Linked DNA regions of Struthio camelus. The protein of the gene in region 1 interacts with the protein of each later gene in a pairwise test. Links are inferred from orthologs where the notes say so. Each region holds a gene or a part of one and is shown on either strand. Other genes may lie near its edges.

What was found.
Region 2: the proteins of GTPBP3 (region 1) and PARP11 interact in binary tests that used the Homo sapiens proteins (3 or more experiments, as listed by UniProt). The two-hybrid records come from large-scale screens. The link is inferred for Struthio camelus from reciprocal best matches to the Homo sapiens genes GTPBP3 and PARP11.

Annotation. Positions count from the first base shown.
Region 1 is NC_090967.1:6,514,699-6,525,109, reverse strand, and holds GTPBP3 (tRNA modification GTPase GTPBP3, mitochondrial), read left to right. Parts: upstream 1-5,769; 5' UTR 5,770-5,795; coding exon 5,796-5,833; intron 5,834-6,944; coding exon 6,945-7,180; intron 7,181-7,321; coding exon 7,322-7,408; intron 7,409-7,501; coding exon 7,502-7,704; intron 7,705-7,820; coding exon 7,821-7,893; intron 7,894-7,977; coding exon 7,978-8,121; intron 8,122-8,210; coding exon 8,211-8,376; intron 8,377-8,465; coding exon 8,466-8,744; intron 8,745-8,829; coding exon 8,830-9,061; 3' UTR 9,062-9,190; downstream 9,191-10,411. Other genes in the region: ANO8 (anoctamin-8), read right to left, coding at 1,531-1,630. UniProt on the Homo sapiens protein: GTPase component of the GTPBP3-MTO1 complex that catalyzes the 5-taurinomethyluridine (taum(5)U) modification at the 34th wobble position (U34) of mitochondrial tRNAs (mt-tRNAs), which plays a role in mt-tRNA decoding and mitochondrial translation.
Region 2 is NC_090942.1:88,017,543-88,028,150, reverse strand, and holds the start of PARP11 (protein mono-ADP-ribosyltransferase PARP11), read left to right. Parts: upstream 1-6,200; 5' UTR 6,201-6,394; coding exon 6,395-6,430; intron 6,431-9,384; exon of another isoform or gene 9,385-9,420; intron 9,421-9,859; coding exon 9,860-9,988; intron 9,989-10,082; coding exon 10,083-10,203; intron 10,204-10,608. UniProt on the Homo sapiens protein: Mono-ADP-ribosyltransferase that mediates mono-ADP-ribosylation of target proteins. Plays a role in nuclear envelope stability and nuclear remodeling during spermiogenesis. Inhibits the type I interferon activated signaling pathway.

The DNA.
Region 1 (10,411 bases):
CCGGGGGCTGCCCGGCCCCCCGCCACGTCCGCAGGGGTGTCACCGGGGCGGCTGCGGGGTGGCCGGGCTGCATCGCCACCTCCTGCCCCGGCCCCAGGGAGCAAACCCAAACCCCCCCTCCCGCACCCACTGCCCAGCTCTGCCCTGGCCCCAGCCCCGCATGGGGCAAGGGCGGGGGGGGGGGGCATGGACCTGCCCTGGGGGCGCGGACCCCTCCTGGGGGCGCAGGGACCCGCTCCGGAGGGGGCACGGACCTGTCCCAGGGAGGTCGCAGATATGTCCCGGGGCACGCACACCCGATACTGGGGGGCCCGGCCTTGTCCTGGGGGGAACAGACCCCATCCTGGGGGGGGCACACACACTGGTCCCAGGGAGGGGGGGGACGCACAGTCCCAATCCACAGGGACCACAGACCTGTCCTGGGGGCGCACGGACCGGATACCCCGGGGGCTTGGAGCTGTCCAGGTGGGAGCACGGACCCCGTCCCGGGGGGATGGCAGCCCTGTCCTGGGGGGTCACGGTCCCCATCCTGGGGGGATGGCAGCCCTGCCTAGAGGGGACACAGACTGCACCCCGGGGGGATGGCAGCCCTGTCCTGGGGGGTCACGGTCCCCATCCTGCGGGGATGGCAGCCCTGACCCGGGGGGGGTCACAGTCCCCATCCCGGGGGGGTGGCAGCCCTGTCCCGTTGTGGGGGGGGGGCACAGACTGCACCCCAGGGGGATGGCAGCCCTGTCCTGGGGGGTCACGGTCCCCATCCTGCGGGGATGGCAGCCCTGACCCGGGGGGGGTCACAGTCCCCATCCCGGGGGGGTGGCAGCCCTGTCCCGTTGTGGGGGGGGGGCACAGACTGCACCCCAGGGGGATGGCAGCCCTGTCCTGGGGGGTCACGGTCCCCATCCTGCGGGGATGGCAGCCCTGACCCGGGGGGGGTCACAGTCCCCATCCCGGGGGGGTGGCAGCCCTGTCCCGTTGTGGGGGGGGGGCACAGACTGCACCCCAGGGGGATGGCAGCCCTGTCCTGGGGGGTCACGGTCCCCATCCTGCGGGGATGGCAGCCCTGACCCGGGGGGGGTCACAGTCCCCATCCCGGGGGGGTGGCAGCCCTGTCCCGTTGTGGGGGGGGGGCACAGACTGCACCCCAGGGGGATGGCAGCCCTGTTCCGGGGAGTCACGGTCCCCATCCCGGGGAGGTGGCAGCCCTGTCCCGGGGGAGGCCGGTCCCCACCCGGCGCAGGAGCTGTCCCGCCGCTCGGCCGTGCCCCGGCGACATCCGCATTGAGCCGCAGGGAGCGGCCCCCCCGCTGCCGCCGGCCGCAGCCCGCGGCCCCTGCGCGCACCGACGGGCCGGGCCGGGACCGGGACCGGGACCGGGACCGGGACAGGGGCGGCAGCGGAGGGGCCCGGAGCCGCGCACCGCAGCGTGGGGGGGGGGGGACGCCGGGCCTGCAGCCTCCCCCCCGCCTCCTCCCCAGCCCCCATCCCCGGGCCGCTGCCCCCTCCCTCCCGATGTCCCCCGGTGCCACCTACCCAGGACGCCGGCCGGGGCGGCCGGCTCCGCTCGCTCCTCGGCGGCCGGGGCCCGCCGGGGCCGCTCGGCGTCCTGCGCTGCCGCCGGCGGGTCGGGCATGGTGCGGGGCTGCGGGGGCTGCGGGGGCTGCGGGGGCTGCGGGGGCTGCGGGCCGCGGCGGGCGCCGGCGCATGGGGCCGCGGGGGCTGCGGGCGCGGGGCCGCCGCCGCCGCCGCCGGCCGGGAGGAGGGGACAAAGCGGCGGAGCGCCGCGCTCCCGGCCCCTTTAATTGTCTGGTTGGTCGCCGGCTCCCCAGCGCCCGGCGGCACCGGCCGCGGGGCCCAGGTGTCCGGGACGCGCACCCCCCCCCCTCCTAACAGCTGGCCATGGGGGGCCCAGGCGTTCGGCTCCTCCCTCCCCCGCAGCCCGGGGACAGGACCCGCAGCATCCCGGGTGGCAGCGCCCCGCCCCGCAGCCTTTGTCGTCGTCCCCCCCCCCCCGAGGTGTCCCCACGTCCCCTGCCCCCCTCCGAGGTGTCCCCGCATCCCCTGCCCGGCCGGTCCTCCCACTGCCCCACATCCCTCTGCCCCCCCCGAGGTGTCCCCATGTCCCCTGCCCCCCTCCGAGGTGTCCCCACATCCCCTGCCCCCCCCGAGGTGTCCCCACGTCCCCTGCCCCCCCCCGAGGTGTCCCCGCATCCCCTGCCCGGCCGGTCCTCCCACTGCCCCACATCCCTCTGCCCCCCCCGAGGTGTCCCCATGTCCCCTGCCCCCCTCCGAGGTGTCCCCACATCCCCTGCCCCCCCCGAGGTGTCCCCACGTCCCCTGCCCCCCTCCGAGGTGTCCCCGCATCCCCTGCCCGGCCGGTCCTCCCACTGCCCCACATCCCTCTGCCCCCCCCGAGGTGTCCCCATGTCCCCTGCCCCCCTCCGAGGTGTCCCCACATCCCCTGCCCCCCCCGAGGTGTCCCCACGTCCCCTGCCCCCCTCCGAGGTGTCCCCGCATCCCCTGCCCGGCCGGTCCTCCCACTGCCCCACCTCCCTCTGCCCCCCCCGAGGTGTCCCCATGTCCCCTGCCCCCCTCCGAGGTGTCCCCACATCCCCTGCCCCCCCCGAGGTGTCCCCACGTCCCCTGCCCCCCTCCGAGGTGTCCCCGCATCCCCTGCCCGGCCGGTCCTCCCACTGCCCCACATCCCTCTGCCCCCCCCGAGGTGTCCCCATGTCCCCTGCCCCCCTCCGAGGTGTCCCCACATCCCCTGCCCCCCCCGAGGTGTCCCCACGTCCCCTGCCCCCCTCCGAGGTGTCCCCGCATCCCCTGCCCGGCCGGTCCTCCCACTGCCCCACATCCCTCTGCCCCCCCCGAGGTGTCCCCATGTCCCCTGCCCCCCTCCGAGGTGTCCCCACATCCCCTGCCCCCCCCGAGGTGTCCCCACGTCCCCTGCCCCCCTCCGAGGTGTCCCCGCATCCCCTGCCCGGCCGGTCCTCCCACTGCCCCACATCCCTCTGCCCCCCCCGAGGTGTCCCCATGTCCCCTGCCCCCCTCCGAGGTGTCCCCACATCCCCTGCCCCCCCCGAGGTGTCCCCATGTCCCCTGCCCCCCTCCGAGGTGTCCCCGCATCCCCTGCCCGGCCGGTCCTCCCACTGCCCCACCTCCCTCTGCCCCCCCCGAGGTGTCCCCACGTCCCCTGCCCCCTCGGAGGTGTCCCCGCATCCCACACCCGGCTGGTCCTCCCACTGCCCCACATCCCCCCGCCCCTCCCAGGTGTCCCCGCATCCTCTGCCCAGCTGGTCCCCCCACTGCCCCACATCCCTGTGCCCCCCTCCGAGGTGTCCCCACATCCCCTGCCCGGCCGGTCCCCCCACCACCCTGACGCGCCAGCCCCCCGCCCGGCCCAGCCCCACGGGTCACGGTGTTATTTCGAGCGCCCCGGCCGGGCGGGAAGGCACGCAGGTAACCTGACCTGGGCTACACAGTGTCCCGCTGACCTTTCGGGAGCCCTCCTCTGCCCCCCACCCCGTGGCCTGGTCCCCGGTGCCCCGTGGGGACACGGCAGGGGACCCGGCGCAGCCCCTCGCGGGGTCTGCGGGACGCCGGATCCCGGCCGCGGGCGTCCCGCGAGCCCCACGGCGGCGCAGGCGGCGGGGCGTGCGGGAGCCCCCGCGCCGCGTCCTGCTCAGTCCCCCCAGGCCGGCTGCCTGCCCGCAGCTATTTTAGGGCAAGGCGCCGGGTGCCAGCTCTGACGGCCGTGACGAACGATGCCACAAGGAACCGGCCTCTCCTCCGGCATCCGCGCTTGGAGCCCGCGGCGCGTTTGCCACCGGCCGCCGGAGCCTGGCACGTCCGGGGCCCTCTTGGCGCCGGGGCTGCGCCTGCTGCAGCAGCCCGGGCCGGGGGCCAGGCCCCCGCGTCGGGGCCCCGGAGCCCCAATCCCCCCCGCCCCATGGCCAGCGCTGCGGGGGCTGCGCTCGGGCTGCCCCGGACCTTCCCGAGACTCCGCGTGGGCCGGACCCACGCGCCCAGCTGGGAAAAATTTGGGGACACCTTGGGGGGGGGGTCTGGACTGGCTTGGTTACTTGGCATCTGTCCCAGGGGCATGTGCAGGGGGTGTGCATGCAGGGGGGGGGGGTGCAGGTGAGGGGGTACCCTGGGGTGCACAAAGGGCTGTGCACACACACACAGGGCTGTGCGTGCGGGTGTGCGCGCCAGGCTGTGTGCAGGCGGGGGGGGGTGTGCAGGCGGTGGTGCACGCGAGGGTGCACAAAGGGCTGTGCACACACACACACAGGGCTGTGCGTGTGGGTGTGCGCGCCAGGCTGTGTGCAGGCGGGGGGGGGGGTGTGCAGGCGGTGGTGCACGCGAGGGTGCACAAAGGGCTGTGCACACACACACACAGGGCTGTGCGTGCGGGTGTGCGCGCCAGGCTGTGTGCAGGCGGGGGGGCATGGAGGGCTCCGCTGCGGCACCTCCCTTTGTTTTGCCTTCCCCATTTCTGGCCATCTGCGTGCGGGGGGCTCCCTGGGCGGGGGCCAGAGGGTGGCTGGGGGGGTTGCTCCACGGCAAGGGCCTGAGCCGGAGCCGGAGCCGGAGCCGGAGCCGGAGCGGACGGTGTTCCCAGCATCCCTGCACGCGCCGCCGCTCGCTCCTCCCGCTGCCAGTGCCTTTGTCTGCCCGGGCGTCCCCCCCGCCGCAGCGTCCCCGCGTCCTCGCCAGGCCCCGCAGGCCGCGCGCGGCCCCCCCGGCACCGCCCGTCTGCACAAAGCTGCTGGGAGCTGGGGAGGGGTCCCATGTCCCCGGGAGCATCCCAGTGTCCCCAGCAGCGTCCCAGTGTCCCCAGCAGCGTCCCAGTGCCCAGCGCCTGCTCAGGGAAAATTTCTATGGTTCACGGAGCGGCGCGGCGCCGGGAGGCTGCGATTCCCGCTCGGCCGCGCTGGCTGCCGGCCTCAGCCGACGCTCTGGGCTTCCCGGGGACGGAGCATCTGCGGCTCGGCGGGGTCCGGGGCCAGACGGTCCCCAGCGCCGGGACCCCCGGCACGGCCGAGGTAGACCGGGGCAGGGGGCATCCAAAAATCCCAAGAGCTTCGGCTGGGGCACAGGACACAAGCAGCCGCTGCAGGATTAGTGCGGGTCAGCGGGTGCAAAGGGGCTGGAGGCCGGGGAGGGGAGGCAGGGGGGGTTCCCACGGTGGCCGCGGGTGCTGTCCCCCCTGCCCCGGCCACCTGCCCCCTGCCCAGACCCAGATTCGGGGACACATGGGGCTGGGGGTTATTTTTAGGGTGCAGAAAAGGCCCTGCCAGGCTCCCACAGCCCAGCTGGGCCTCGGCTGCCCGCTGGGGGCCGCGGGTGTCCTGTTCCCGGGGAGGTGACAGCGAGGCCACATGTCCCAGCCCCTGCCACCAAAATAGCTCCGGCACCCGGGGAACCGCTGCTGAGAGCCGCCGGGGGGAGAAGGGGTGGGGTGGGGGGGCAAATGCAGCCGGCAAAGCCGTGCGGAGCCTTGCAGAGGGCGGCGGGGCCGGGCAGGGCGCAGGGGACAGCGCGGGGACCGGCCGCCCCCGCCCCGCCGGCGACACGGGGACGCGCCGGGCAGCGCCGCTCCCGCCGCCGGGCGGAAGCGATTCGCTCCTGCGCAGCCTCAGGCGGCGCGGCGTCGGCCGTGCTGGCTGACCAATCAGAGAGGGGGGTTTGGGGCTAAAGCCCGCCTCCCTCTGCCGCCTTGGCCAATCGGGGGGAGGGGGGGGCTGCCCGCCCTGAGGCCGCCGCTGGGGGAAGGCGTGCGCCGGAGGTTCATGGCGCTGCGGTGGGCGCTGAGCGCGGCGGGCGGCAGGTGGGGGACACCGGGGGGTGCATGGGGAGGGGAAATAGCGGGGGGCGGGCTTGCAAGGAGGGTGATGCGCCTGGGGCACCCTGGGGTGGGGGTATGCGGGGCGGTGCATGGGGAGAGGGTGCAACTGGGGCACTGTGGGGTGGCGGTGCACCTTGGGGGGGCTTGCAAGGCGAGGGGATGCACGTGGGGCACCCTGGGGTGGGTGCATCCTGGAGGGGGGCTTGCAAGGCGAGGGGATGCACGTGGGGCACCCCGGGGTGGGTGCATCCTGGAGGGGGGCTTGCAAGGGGAGGGGATGCACGTGGGGCACCCCGGGGTGGATGCATCCTGGAGGGGGGCTGCAAGGCGAGGGGATGCACGTGGGGCACCCTGGGGTGGGTGCATCCTGGAGGGGGGCTGCAAGGGGAGGGGATGCACGTGGGGCACCCCGAGGTGGGTGCATCCTGGAGGGGGGCTTGCAAGGGGAGGGGATGCACGTGGGGCACCCCGAGGTGGGTGCATCCTGGAGGGGGGCTTGCAAGGGGAGGGGATGCACGTGGGGCACCCCGGGGTGGATGCATCCTGGAGGGGGGCTTGCAAGGGGAGGGGATGCACCTGGGGTGAGGGCTACCCTGGAGTTGGGGGTGCATGGGGAGGGGATGCCCTGAGGTGGCGTATGTACCCTGAAGGGGGGGTTGCAAGAGGAGGAGATGCACCTGGGGTTGGGGGGTGCTTTGGAGTGGGGGTGCAAGGGGAGGGGATGCACCCCGAGGTGGGGATGCAACGGGAAGGGGGTGCACAGGGAGGAGGGCTGCATCCTGGAATGGGGGTGTGTGGGGAGCAGGGGGTGCAGCCTGGCATGGGGTTGTGCACAGGGAAGGGGGGCAGCTGGGGAAGGGGGTGCTCCCCTGCACCCTCCCTGCCCCCCAGGTCTCGCGGGGGTGTGCTGGGTGCACGCCTGGGTCTGGGGCTGCATAGGAAGGGGTGCACACCCCTGGGTATGTGGGGTGCACTGGGAGAGGGTGCATGGGGGGGGTGCATCCCTGCACCCCCTGACCCCCCTGTTTGGGCCGTGTGTGGGGAGGGAAGCCCCCCCCCCGGCCCCGCACTCTGGCTCCCTGTCCCTTTGCAGGAGCGCGCGGCGCCTCTGCTCCGCGGCGCGGGGCGACACCGTCTTCGCCGTGTCCTCGGGCCACGGCAAGTGCGGCGTGGCGGTGATCCGGGCCAGCGGGCCGGGCTGCCGGGCGGCCCTGCAGAGCCTCACCGGGCGCCCCGCGCTGCCGCCGCCCCGCGTCCTGGCCCTGCGGCGCATCCGCGACCCCGCCACCGCCGAGCCCTTGGACCGCGGCCTCGTCGTCTGGTTCCCAGGTGAGAGCCGGGGCTGGGCGCCAGCCCGCGGCGGGTCTCGGCGCCCGGCACGGCGGCTGGCTCCTTTGCACCGCCGCCGCAGGTTGCACGGCCGCGGCGGGTCTCACCGCTCGGTGTCCCGAGCGCCTCCGTGCTTTGCAGGGCCCCAGAGCTTCACGGGGGAGGACTGCTGCGAGCTGCACGTGCACGGCGGGCCGGCCGTGGTGAGCGGCGTGCTGCAGGCGCTGGGTAAGGCTCCGCGCGCCCGCGGGGATGACGCACCGGGCTCTGGGCTGGATGGAGCCGCAGCGGCGGCTCACGCGGCCCCGGCGCGGCTCGCAGGGCGCCTGCCCGGCCTGCGGCCCGCCGAGCCGGGCGAGTTTGCCCGGAGAGCCTTCCACAACGGCAAGCTGGACCTGACGGCGGTGGAGGGGCTGGGGGACCTCATCCAGGCGGAGACGGAGGCCCAGCGGCGGCAGGCGCTGCGGCAGATGGAGGGCGAGCTGGGGCAGCTCTACCAGCGCTGGAGCGAGACCCTCACCCAGGCAAGAGCCGCGGGGAGGCGGGTTGGGGCCGGCCGGACGCCTGGGCTCCTCCGCCGGCCCGAGCGCGGCGGGAGCGTCCCCCTCCTGCCCCGCTCAGCCCTCCTCGTGCCCCCCAGGCGCTGGCCCACCTCGAAGCCTACATCGACTTCAGCGAGGATGACAACGTGGAGGAAGAGGTGCTGTCGCGAGGTGAGGGCCGGGAGGGGGCTGGGGGCCGGGGCCGGCCCGCCCCGGCCGCCCCCAACCCCGACGCTGCCGCTCTCGCCCCCGCAGTGGCCGCGGCCGTGCGGGCGCTGGAGGAGGAGGTGGGCGCCCACCTGCGGGACGGGCGGCGCGGGGAGCTGCTGCGCGGCGGCGTCCGCGTGGTCATCGCCGGCCCCCCCAACGCGGGCAAGAGCAGCCTCCTCAACCTGCTGGGTGAGCTGGCGGGGGGGGGGGGACGCGGAGCCGACGGAGCCTCCCGGCCCCGCCGGCCTCCCCTGAGCCGCGCCGCCCTCCCCGCGCAGCCCGGCGGCCGGCAGCCATCGTGTCGCCCGCGGCGGGGACCACGCGGGACGTGGTGGAGCTGCCGCTGAACGTCGGCGGATACCCCGTGGTGCTGAGCGACACGGCCGGGCTGCGCGACGCCGCCGACCCCGTCGAGCGGGAGGGCGTGAGCCGGGCGCGCGAGAGGTGCGGGGACGGGGCGGGAGGCGGGGGCTGGCGCCGCGGCCCCCCCCCCTCCCCCCGAGGGCCGCATCCTTCCCGCGGGCTCTTCGCAGGTTGCGGCACGCCGACCTGGTGCTGGCGGTGCTGGACGCCGGCGCGGTGCCGGCGGAGCCGACGCAGCTCGGCGAAGCCCTGGGGGCCGTGCTGCCCCCCGGCGCCGCCAAGCCCTGCGTGCTGGTGCTGAACAAGGTGGACGTGGCGCCGGGCGGCGCGGGGGCCCTGGGGGCCGCCTGCGCCCGCGGGGGGCTGCCCCCCGCCGCCCTGCTCTCCTGCAAGACGGGCGAGGGTCTCGCCGGGCTGCTGGAGCTGCTGCGGCGGCAGCTGGAGCGGCTGTGAGTGCCGGGGCGGCGCGGCGGGGGGCTCGGGGCGGCGGGGGGCTCGGCGCGGGCGCTGCTGCAGGCTCCTCTCGCCGCCCAGGTGCGGGGACCCGCTGGCCGGCTCGCCCAGCCTCACGCAGAGCCGCCACGGCCACCACCTGCGCGCCTGCCGGGCCGCCCTGGCCCGCTACGGCCGGGCGGGCGGCACCGACCTGGCGCTGGCCGCCGAGGAGCTGCGGCTGGCGCGGCGGCACCTGGGCAGGATCACGGGGCACGTGGGCGCCGAGGACGTCCTGGACATCATCTTCAGGGACTTCTGCGTGGGCAAGTGACGGGGGGGCGGCCGCGTGCACGCCCGGCGCGGGCTCCCGGGGCTCTTTGCGCCGCGCTTTTATTAAAACGGCGGTGCTTTCGGCTGCTCCCGCGTCCTTCCCCGTCCTCCCCGGGGCCGGCCGGCACGCGGCGCGTTCCCCGGCCGCGGGGGGACGTTTCCTGAGCCCCGGCCTTGGAAAAAACCACCCGCTCCTGGGAGCGGCCGCGTTTCCTGGCCGGGAGCATAAACACGGAGCTGCAGTGTCTGGAAGGGGGGAAAAAACCCAGCCGGGGGGCTGCGGCGGTTGGGTGCTGCAGCGGGGGGTCCCGGCCCCGCACCCCCAGCCCGTCGCGGCGGCCGCCCGGCTGCTGCCCCGGTGCCGCTCGGCGGCCGCGGCCGGGCTCCGAAGGCCGGGGGCTCCCCGGGGACCCGTCCCGGCTCCGCTGCCGCCGCCCGGGGCTCCCAGGCTCCAGCAGCGGAAGCTCCCCTTGCTCCGCGATTATTTATAGTGGAGTGCCAGGAAATCCTCTTAACGCCGAGCGCGTCCCTGCCGTGCCCGAGCCGGGGCAGCCCGAGCCCCTCCGCCGCCCCCGGTGCCGTCCCCCCCCCCGGGCCGGGGCCGCGGCGTGGGGTGCCGCCGGCGGTGGCTGCGGCGGGCGGCCCGTGGCGGGCCGGGGTGTGCAGCCCGGCGCGCGGGGCGTCAGGAAAGGCTGTTTAAACAGGAAGGAGAGGGAAGCGCGGCAATAAATCAACGGGTGGCAGCCGGCCATTAATCACTGCGCTCGCCGCGTCCTGCACGCGCTGCTTCGTCCCCGTCCCTGCGTGCCAAGGGCCGTCCCCCCCCCCCCCCCGCTTCCCCCCCGGCTGTATTCGGGGCTGAGCCGGTGGGGATCGCTCCGGATGCTCGGCTGCTCCGGATGCTCGGCTTCCCCGGGACCGGGGGGCTCCGGGGGGCTCGGAGGCAGGTCCCCGCCGTGGCTGAGGTTCCCTGCTCCGTGCCGAGGTGGGGGGGCCGCGGCGGAGGGCCGGGGATGCTCGGCGGCCAGGGGTTTCCCGCGCGCCGTCCCACGCGCTTCCGGCGCGGGAAAGCCGGGGCCAGGGTGCGGCGGCTCGGCCGCGGGGGGCTCGGTGCTGGCGGCCGGGGGGGTCCCGGCCAGCCCCTTCTGGGAAGGGCCCCCCTCCCTCCCGGCTGGGTCGGGTTGCGGCTCAGCCTATCTCTTCCTGCAGGGTCGTCCGGCGTTTCCTGCGCGGGGGCTGCCCGCCGCGGCTGGGACGGGACGTTCCTCGCGCCCGCCGCGCCGCAGGAAGACGCGGGACGCGCCGTGCCGGGGCCCGGGGCCGTGTATTTGCGCACCGATACGCGCACCCG
Region 2 (10,608 bases), on another chromosome or scaffold:
GGAGGTAGACCTTTGACATGGCTGACAGTGGTCTTGTGGGAGAATGAAGTCTGCAGGAGACAGCTGGTCATTAGAATAGTGCATAGGGTGCAGCACTGCAGCCAGTGCACTGAGAATCAGCCCCGTTCAGTTGTGTATGTCATACTTCAGAAACTGAACTGGTGTTGGCAGCCTCTCTGGTCTTGAGGCTATCTCATTCTCTGATTGCCTGTGATGACTGGATTGGGTCTCACTGCCATGCTATGCTGCAGTTAGTAATACATGGTTGCGGCAGCCTAGTAAAGGTAAGAGTCTAAAATGAGTCCAGGTATCCAAGCATCCTGGTTCCCCTGGGCTCTGCTGTGAAATCTTTCCCTGTCCTTCTTTATAGGATCACAAAAAAACAAAAAACAAAAAACAAAAAAACCCAAAACAAAACAAAACCAACTTCCAGCTCTCTGCCCTTCTGATGCTGCTACAAGTACATCTATTTGCATTTAAGTTATCTCAATGTCAGCTGCAGACTAGAGGACTTCCTGGACCCACTTCCCTCCAAAAAGAAGAGAGGCTGAGGCACAGGACCTCAGTCTACACATGAAAGGAGACAGAAAGGCATCCAACAATTTTAAGCAACCAAGTTATGGCAAAGTATTGGGCATAAGTGAGTGTGAGAAGGCTGGCAGGGGGAAAAAAAGGACATCTGGGAATATAGGAGAAAAGTAAAGGGAGAAAAAGAAGTCTCCTGGCTGTAAGCTGTGCTCTCCATGGATTAAGGGGCAAAATATATACTGCTGGGGACCATGGCTTTCAGTCAGTCTCACCAAAAAAAGCATCAAAGGAATGAGATGTTCCCATCTACACCAGCCCAACAAAATTTCATTATCATTTATATTATGTCTCAATTGAATGAATTCAAAATTTTAATGTTTACTGAAAATTAATTTATCATGAAATAGCAGATACCAAAGAATCATATACTTCCCTCTCAGAGAACGTATTATAGCAGTTTTCTGCCTTATCTTATCCTAGCTGATACACTTAAGGGCAGAGCTGCTATCCAGAGGGACAAAGACAAGTTGGAGGAATGGGCTGACAGGGACCTTATGAACTTGAACAAGAATAAAAACAATGATGTCCTGCACCTGGGAAGGAATAACCCCTGGCAACAGAACAGGCTGGGGACTCACAAGCTGGTGAGCAGCTCTCCTGAAAAAGACCTGGGGTCTCGGTAGACAGAAAGATGAATATGAGCCAGCAGTGTTCCGTGGCAGCAAAGAAGGTTGACAGCATCCTGTGCTGTATTAACAAGACCATAGCCAGTAGATCAAGGGAAAGGATTATTAGCATTTGTGAGATCCTGTCTAGAATACTGCATCCAGTTGTGGGCCTATCAGTACAAGAAGGACATTAATCAACTGAAACAAGTTCATCAGAGAGCCACCAAGATGGCCTGGAGCACTTGCCCTGTGAGGAGAAGCTAAGAGAACAGGGCTTCTTCAGCCTAGAGAAGAGAAGGTTCTGGGGTGCCTAATAGCAACCTTCCAATACCTAGGTAGGTGATCAAGAAGACAGGGTCAAGCTCTTCACAGAGGGAGATGGGAGGACAGGAGAGAATAGTCTTCAGTTGAAATGAGAGATTCCAAATGGATATAGAGAAAAGCTTGTTCACCATGAGGGCAGTTAAGCATTGGAACAGGTTGCCCTGAGAGGTTGTGCAGTCTCCGTCCTTGTAGGTTTTCAAGAACCAACTGAATAAAGCCCTGAATAACTTGATCTGACCTCATAGTTGACCCTACTTTGAGAAGGAGGTTGGACTAGATGACCTCTGGAGGTCCATTCCAACCTGAATTCTCCTACAATCCTATAATCCCCCAACTGACCCAATTAAAAGGGCATTATATTTGGGCACTGATTGTAATTTCTCTCTACTTCAGGTAGATCTTCCAGGTGATCTTTATTTAGCAGCTTGGAGAAGCTGTACCTGTTATTTCCCTGTCCAGGTAAAGACATATGAAGAAATGCTGAGGGAGCTCTTCTCACAGGGTCGCAGTAAAAGGACAAGAGGCAATGTACACAAGTTGCAATACAGGAAATTCAGATTGGACATAAGGAAAAAATTCTTGCCCCTAAGAGTGGGAACATATACCTGGAGACACTGTAAAATTTCCACCTTTGGAGATTTTTATAATTTGGCTGGAAAAAGGAACTAAGCAACCTGATCTAGCTTTGAAGTTAGGCCTGCTTTGATCAGGAGATTGGATTAGAGACTTTCACAAATTCTTTCAAACCTAAGTCCTTCTTGATTCTATGATTTATGTGCCAGGCAGTACCAGGGAATCTCTCCTTCACTTCCATTCGACCATTGTCACCCAATGTCACCGCAGTCTTCCAAAAGGGAAAGAAGGAGGAGTCAGGAAACTACAGGCCTGTCAGCCTCACCTCCATCCCTGGAAAGGTGATGGAACAGCTCCTCCTGGAGGTCATCACTAAGCATCTGGAGGACAAGAAGGTGATCAGGAGTAGTCAGCACGGCTTCACCAAAGGGAAATCATGCTTGACCAATCTGCTAGCCTTCTCAGATGGAATGACCGGCTGGGTAGATGAGGGCAGAGCAGTGGATGTTGTCTCCCTGGACTTGAGCAAGGCTTCGGACACTGTCTCCCACCACATCCTCCTAGGTAAGCTCAGGAAGTGTGGGCTAGATGAGTGGACGGTGCGGTGGATCGAGAACTGGCTGGATGGCAGAGCTCCGAGGGTTGTGGTCAGTGGTGCGGAGTCTAGTTGGAGGCGTGTAGCTAGTGGTGTCCCGCAGGGGTCAGTCCTGGGTCCAGGACTGTCCATTGATGTAGTCATCAATGACCTGGAGGAAGGGACAGAGTGCACCCTCAGCAAGTTGGCTGATGCTGATGCCTAAACTGGGGGGAGTGGCTGACACACGAGAAGGCTGTGCTGCCATTGAGAGGGAGCTGGACAGGCTGGAGAGCTGGGCGGAGAGGAACCTCCTGAAGTTCAACAAAGGCAAGTGCAGGGTCCTGCACCTAGGGAGGAAGAATCCCAGGCACCAGTACAGGCTGGGGATTGACCTGCTGGAAAGCAGCTCTGCAGAGAAGGACCTGGGGACGCTGGTGGAGAACAAGCTGACCGTGAGAGAGTCCAGTGGAGGGCTACCAAGATGATTAGAGGGCTGGAGCACCTCTCCTAGGAAGAAAGACTGCAAGAGCTGGGCCTGTTCAGCCTGGAGAAGAGAAGATTGAGAGGCGATCTCATCAAGGTGTTTAAGTATCTGAAGGGGGAGTGTCAAGAGAATGAGGCCAGTCTCTTCTCCGTGGTGCCCAGCAACAGGACAAGAGGCAATGGGCATAAACTGAACCACAGGAAGTTCCATCTGAACCTGAGAAAAAACTTCTTGACTGTGAGGGTGAGTGAGCACAGGAACAGGTTGCCCAGAGAGGTAGTGGAGTCTCCTTCGCTGGAGATATTCAAAACCCGTCTGGATGTGATCCTGGGCAATATGCTCTAGGTGACCCTGCTTGAGCAGGGAGGTTGGACGAGATGATCTCCAGAGGTCCCTTCCAACCTAAACGATTCTGTGATTCTGTGAGCCAACAATGCGCTCTTGTGGCCAAGAAGGCCAGTGGTATCCTGGGGTGCATTAGGCAGAGTGTTGCCAGCAGGTGGAGGGAGGTGATCCTGCCCCTCTCCTCAGCCCTGGGGAGGCCTCACCTGGAGTGCTGTGTCCAGTTCTGGGCTCCCCAGGACAAGAGAGACATGGCACTCCTGGAGAGAGTCCAGCGGAGGGCTACAAAGATGATGAGGGAACTGGAGCATCTCTCATATGAGGAAAGGCTGAGGGAGCTGGGCCTGTTCAGCCTGGAGAAGAGAAGACTGAGAGGGGATCTCATCAATGTGTACAAGTATGCGAAGGGGGGGTGTCAACAGGATGGGGCCAGACTCTTCTCCGTGGTGCCCAGCGACAGGACAAGAGGCAACGGGCAGAAACTGAACCACAGGAAGTTCCATGTGAACATGAGGAAAAACTTCTTGACTGTGAGGGTGACAGAGCATTGGGACAGGTTGCCCAGAGAGGTAGTGGAGTCTCCTTCGCTGGAGATACTCAAAACCCATCTGGATGTGATCCTGGGCAACATGCTGTAGAGGCCCCTGCTTGAGCAGGGAAGTTGGACTAGATGATCTCCAGAGGTCCCTTCCAACCTAAACCATTCTGTGATTCTGTGGTTCCCTGAAAAACTGTATTTGTAACTCAAGCCATGTGGCCAAACCTCTCCAGTTTCTGCCTTTTTGCTGCTTTTAGTGCAGGCTCATAGGAGCCAATTACTGCAATTATGTCTTCACCAGGACTACTGTTAGTTTCACATAGTATGTAAGATATCCACATAATTCTTTGGAAAGAACTGCTTTCAAAGATTTTTAAATTGTTGTTGCTATGAAGAGTCTGGCATTGGCATGAAGCTTGATAAGAATACAGTCATTCTAAAAAGCTTTATTTTGAATGTAACTAAGATGTTCTCATCTTGTAAGAGGCTTATGCTCCATTATTAATTATCCTACAATGAAAGGGAAGAAACAGACACAAAAAATTCCCAGCTCTGTTCCACAGTTCAAGGCATAACAGAAGAAACCTCTTTAAAACTTTGGGCTGCTAGACAGTTCCATGTTGGGCTACAGTAACTATCTTCATATTTACTTAGGCAAATTCCACAAACAACCTCAACACTTCCAGTTGTCACCCTGTTGGAAGGTTCCCACATGCACTTCAAAAATACACAACAGGCAGCAGTAATAATAGGAGCAAATGACTCACAGAAGCTCAGGTTAGACACAAGGCTGGTTATAAACCATCATTTTTCCAAGTGAAAAAAGGGCATTCAGCAGGCTTGCTGCAACAGCTAAGGTGGTAACACCACCCTTATCCTTTGTACAGATTCATAAATTAGGACCGCACAGATAGGATTGGTCCCCATGGTCATTATGCGTTTTTCAACCATACCAATATCCTGTTCAGGAAAAGATATCCCTGCTTCTGGTAAACTCCTCTGTTTCTGAGGACATGGGCATCACATGTATGCCAGTGAACTGCCCTCAGTGATTCACCAGAGGTTACTTAACACCAGAAAAAATAGCCTCTTCAACTACATATTGAAAGACAAGGTCAGCAAAGCCAGAATCTGGATACGCATCCTGTTTGACACTCCCTCAGAATATGAGAAATTCATCATTTTCAATCCACCTCCGTTATTTCTGGAATGCTGCCCAATGAACCACCTTCAGAGCAGGATGTACTTTAATGGCTTCACATGACTGCATGATGACTGCCTGTTCTGTGAAGTTTCCAGCTTAGAATTTATTGCCCACTGACCAATGGCAGTGTGAATTAGTAAGCTTCTTGGAGCTGGTTAACTGCCTGTTTTTCTGCTCTGCAGCTCTCATTCTAGACTCTCTGCATGGAAAGGCTGGGAGGAGGTACGTTCACAACTATGGCCCTCCTCAGTAAGAAGTGCTACAGCTGCTTTTGTTTCTAGATCTCAATTACAATGTAAAAATGCCACTAGGTGTTCTGTTTTTCAAGCTCTGAAAGTGCAGTTGATGAATGCCTGCAACAGGCTGCAGTTTTTACTTCCTCTCTGCATTAGGTAATCACTTAAGAGTTGTCACTTCCACCGCCCTACAAGGAGCTAGCGCAGTACAGGTTCTTTAAATGCTATGTGTGCAGAATTAAGCATATATACAGGCTCATGTGGCCCCATATGGGCTGTGAAAGCTCTTTGGGAGACTAGGCCCATTGCTTTCCATGATGACAGCCAATAATTAAAGGAAATAAAAAACAAAGCTGCAGAGTTGAGAGAAGTGAGGCACACTGAACTCAAGCATCTCACAGCCAAAACTGCTACCCATGCGACAACACATTGACAAGACTGCCAGAGGCCGCAGGGCTGACGAGCGAGCGTCACGGCAACACCACCACCTGCGAGGCCATGAGATGCCCACAGCGCCAGGCATGCAGGCAAGCAGCACACGGCTCCATACTGCGTAGTCTCCTTCCGCCCCGCCCACAGCGCGGGCGGGCGGGCGGGTACCCAACACAACCACAACCACAACCACAACCGCCCCCGCCCCCGCCCCCGCCCCAAGCCTGGTTCCTCCACTGCCTCCCAAGCCCCCGCCTCCCTCGCCTAAATTTGCATACCAGGCCTCGCCCCCCTGTGTGACGAACAGATTTAGCCCTACCTATAACAGTCGTTGTTCCTCCCTTTTCTTTTGCCACCGATAACGGAAGCGCTCCGGAGCCTGAGCAGTGACGTGCCCGGAGCGGCCGGGCTCGGCCTGCTTTCCCCCCCCCCCCCCCTTCCCCTCCCCCCCCCCCTTCCCGCCACTCCTTCCCCACCCTCCGGTCAACATGTGGGGAGCGAGCCCGGGGTGGGCGGCCGATGCGGTGAGTGCGCGCGGGGAGGGGGACGGGGGAAACGGCCACTCCTTTTGTCTCGTTCTCCCTCCTCCCGCCTCCGCCTCAGTAGGCGCGCTCCAGGCCGCAGGCCGCCCTCGGCTCGTCCCGCTGTGCCCCACCCCCTGCAAGCGAGCGAGCGCGCGCTCAGAGACCGTGTTGCCAGGTTGGGGATGGGGGGCACAGGCCGCCACAGCTCTCTTTGGGGGAGGGCTAGGAGCCATATAGGGGAGGGACTATTGTTACGTTTAGCTGTCTCTCCCCCCCCCCCCCCATCCTTGAGCTCTTTACGGACTCAGCTGGGAGGGGGGTAGGAAAAGGAGCGACAGCAGCAGCGAGCGGGCAGTCCTCTGCAGCAGTGACAATACAGCTGCAGAGGGCATCGTCCCTGTATGAGCTGGCTCCTCAGGTCGTGGTCTGCACCTGTGCTAATGCTGTTCGTTCTTCTCTGCCACCCCTTCCCAGCACTGTGCTCTCAGCTCGGGAGCTCGGGAGCTCGGGAAAGTCTCCTTTTTCAGATACTTTGCTACCTAAGGAAGGGCTGGAGTCTCTATTAGGGCTACTAGTGGACTCAGCTGGGAACTATGCAGAGTTGCTGATTGCTGGCAAAAGAATCTCCAGCACTACAGAACAGTCCAACAAATGGATGTAGACAGCACAAGAAAACTGAATAGCTCATCTGGAGGCACTATAAAGCATATTTATCATTCAAACTTAAGACTCCTTGAGAAATGAGCAGCTGTGTTAGTATTACAGCCATTCAATGACAGTACTTTCATGACACAACAAGCATTCATTCTCATTAGGAGAAATTTTCTGCTGTCAGAGTAATAGTTGTTACTTTTATTCGGTTCCTGATAGCTCCTGGACCAGTAGTAGAAGTTCTAGTAATGGGAGTTGAAAGCTCCTCTGTTAGCAGCATTATTGCTAATGAAATTTTCTTTGCTGTATCTTTGATGTTGATGTTCTGGTCATCTAGAAAAACCTGCTAAGAGTTCCTGCTTGCTGTATATGCATTCAGAGATTTTGGACAAAAACCTACCTATTCTTTATAAATAGAGTGGTCTTGATTTTAAATTCATCAGTAAATTGAGCCTATTTTTTTTTTTTTTAAAGCATGTGGGATTTGGATCACCTTTCAGAGCAGCTCTCCTGTTTTCTTTTTAGTGATTATGGCTTGGGTCCTTCTACCATACTTAGAAGTATCCATGAATCTATGCAGGACTCTGTGACTGGGATAATGTGTGGACTGGAAGTAACATTTTTGGAAATTACGGGAATAACTGTGTCATTGATAAGTGATTTTTTTTTCCCCCCGGGGGCTGTGTTGCTCCCAGAGGAGTACAAGTATATTGATAGGTGCAGATGAACATAACTCCTCTGTTTGTAACTGTTCCAAAGCCATTAGTAATTTGAGTGATCAGATTCAAGGCCCTGAACTAATGTTGGCATGGAGCTGAGGTCTGGTTATTCCAGTGGAAAAATAAGAAACTAAACCGTACCTCAGAAAAGTCAGAATTACTTTCCTCTTAGCTTTAAACAAGTGTAGACTTGTGTAACAAGTGTAGACAAGTGTAACTCAGCCTGTAGGTGAAAACATGGTCTTTAGTATTGTTCTGCTTGAAATTGAGGCAGCTATCCTTGTAGGTTTAAATAATGAAAGTAAGCTGCCAAAACCTTTCAGTGTTGTATGGAGCTCCCATTTCATCAGGTCTTCCTGTTGGAAGGAATGGATGTGCTTCCATTTGTGCTGAAGTAGGTGTACCCTGAGGTTCTGCAATTTAGAGATGTTGTGGAGCTCTATCACTAATTTCCCTGTTTTTTAAGCATATAGTTTCGTAGTAGCTTTTGATGATTAGAAATCATGTCTTATTTGAGACATAGTTTCTAGCTATTACCATGAAGAGGTTTCTGTGATTTTTGAAAACACCATTGAAGGTTTACTTGGGAAAAATATGGGGGAAGCTAGTGTTAGAAGAGGCCTTCTGCTCTCAGTTCCTGCCCCAATAGCACTGACCAGTTGGCTCCTACTTCTTCATCTCCGGAGTGCCTTCTGAAGGTCTCTGCTACAGTTTTCTGGGTTGAAGTGTCCAGGAAGCAACTGAAACATCCAGGTTGTTAGCAGGAGAATGTTTTGACTTACTTGTGCTGGAGTGTGGTGGTCCATGTTCTGGAAGCAAAAGTTAAGTTGAGGAAAAAGTTGAGAAGAGTGCCAGTCTTGGTTAATCAGATAGACTGGATGAATTGCTAACTCTTTATGGGAGTAGGGCAAGCCTGTTTCTCTGGAACTTTTTCCCCCATTAGAATTTTTACTGCTGTTTATTAACTGGTTTTGACAAGTTAGGAGATATATGCAAGTGGAGTCAAATTCTTTCAGAATTTTCAGGATTTTATTGTTAAGTTGAAATCTAGTGGGGGCTGTTGTGAAGTTTTCCTGATATAGCCATTGGTTACCTTTTCTATGAACTTGTCCCATCACTTTTTAAACTTGCATAAACTTTCAGGAACCACAGCATACCATGGAAAGCAATTCCATAGTTCAGTGATCTATTTTATGAAGACATTTCCTTTCATTTATTTTAAACTTAACACAAGTTTTGTTAGGTGTCCCCTTCTTTGGAAGAAAATGTAATCAGTAATTCGCTATTCAACTTTGCCATGATTTTGTAGCCTTCTGTTTTATCCTTTCATCACTTCTTTCTTCCATCCTGAAGAATCCTAGCTTTGGTAGTCATCCCTTGTGTGTAAGCCATTCTGCTTGTTTTTTTGGCAGCCTTCTCTCTGCCTTTCATAATTTTACTGTATCCTTTTCAAGGCGTTTTCAAGCATTTTTTTTTTCATTTGAGGGGAAACAAACTATCATGCAGTGTTGAGGAATAATGCACTGTGGACTTGCACGGTGACATAATGATGATGCTTGTTTTAGTCTCTGATTTTTTTTCTAGCAACTCCTAGTATTCCATCTAATTTGTTGACTGCTGGTGAGTATGTAGTAGATGTTTTCATCCAACTATCAGACATCACCCCAGTATCTCATTCCTGAGTTATGTATAACTCAGAGCCTATTGTATTTATGACTGGATTTGCTTGTATGTCTGTCAGTATGAATTTGGCACCTCTTTTTCATCTGACAAAGCCTATAGCTCTTGATCTGGCGACATGTTTATAAACATTCGAGAGAGCGTTAGCTTTGAAAATGTTTAACCAGGTTTACAGGTAATACTTGTTAAACTGGATAAGTAGGAAATTGAGAAACTTTCTTTAAGAAAGAGAAAACAAATATGCCCCTCTGCCTTTCTTTTTTCTAAGTATTACAATTCATGTTATTCTGCTTTTATATTCTTTACTGAATTTCTCAAATAATGCACTTTTGCAAATAGTATCACAGAAGACTTTTTTGCATGTGTATGAACATTGCAGGAAATGCTTCAGAGAGCATCAGAAGAATTCTTTCCGAAGACGGAAAGTGCAGTTGAAGAGATGGATACCTCAGACACCCAGTGGGGCTGGTTTTATTTGGCTGAGTGTGGTAAATGGCATATGTTTCAGGTAACTACATATGAAATTATGTTAGCTATGATGATTTCCAAACATCCAACTACTTCTGAATTTGCCTAATTGTGCTTTTTGGTTTGTTTTAAAGACTGATTCAAACAGTCATTGCTCAGTTAGCAGTGAAGATATTGAAAGGAGCTTCAGAACAAACCCTCATGGATCTGTTTCTTTTACTACTGCAAAATTTAACTACACGTTAGACTTTTCAGGTATGTCTCTTGTCATAGAATAAATTAAATAATAGATGGTGTCAGATACACTAGTTGATGTGTTCATTCAGCAAGTTATTTTCCTCATATCTGGTGCAAAAAGTCCAGAATTGGAAAAGTCTTTATTGGAAGGTATGCATGAGATTTTGGAGGCAGCTGCACTGTTAAATTTTCTAGTGTAGTTTACTAATAAGGTAGCATGCCTTGTGTGGTAGTGCTCCAGCATTTTACCTCTGCTTACCTTAGCTGTAGGTAGTATCTAGCATACATCCGTGGGTCTAGGAAGTTTGTTCTTTAACATACAACAGCTTGTAGGCTTGAAAAATGTTCTCTTCCATTCAGAGTCTCTATAAGAAACGTTGATATGATGGAAGCTTTCTGCAAAACACTGGCATTAAAGTGATT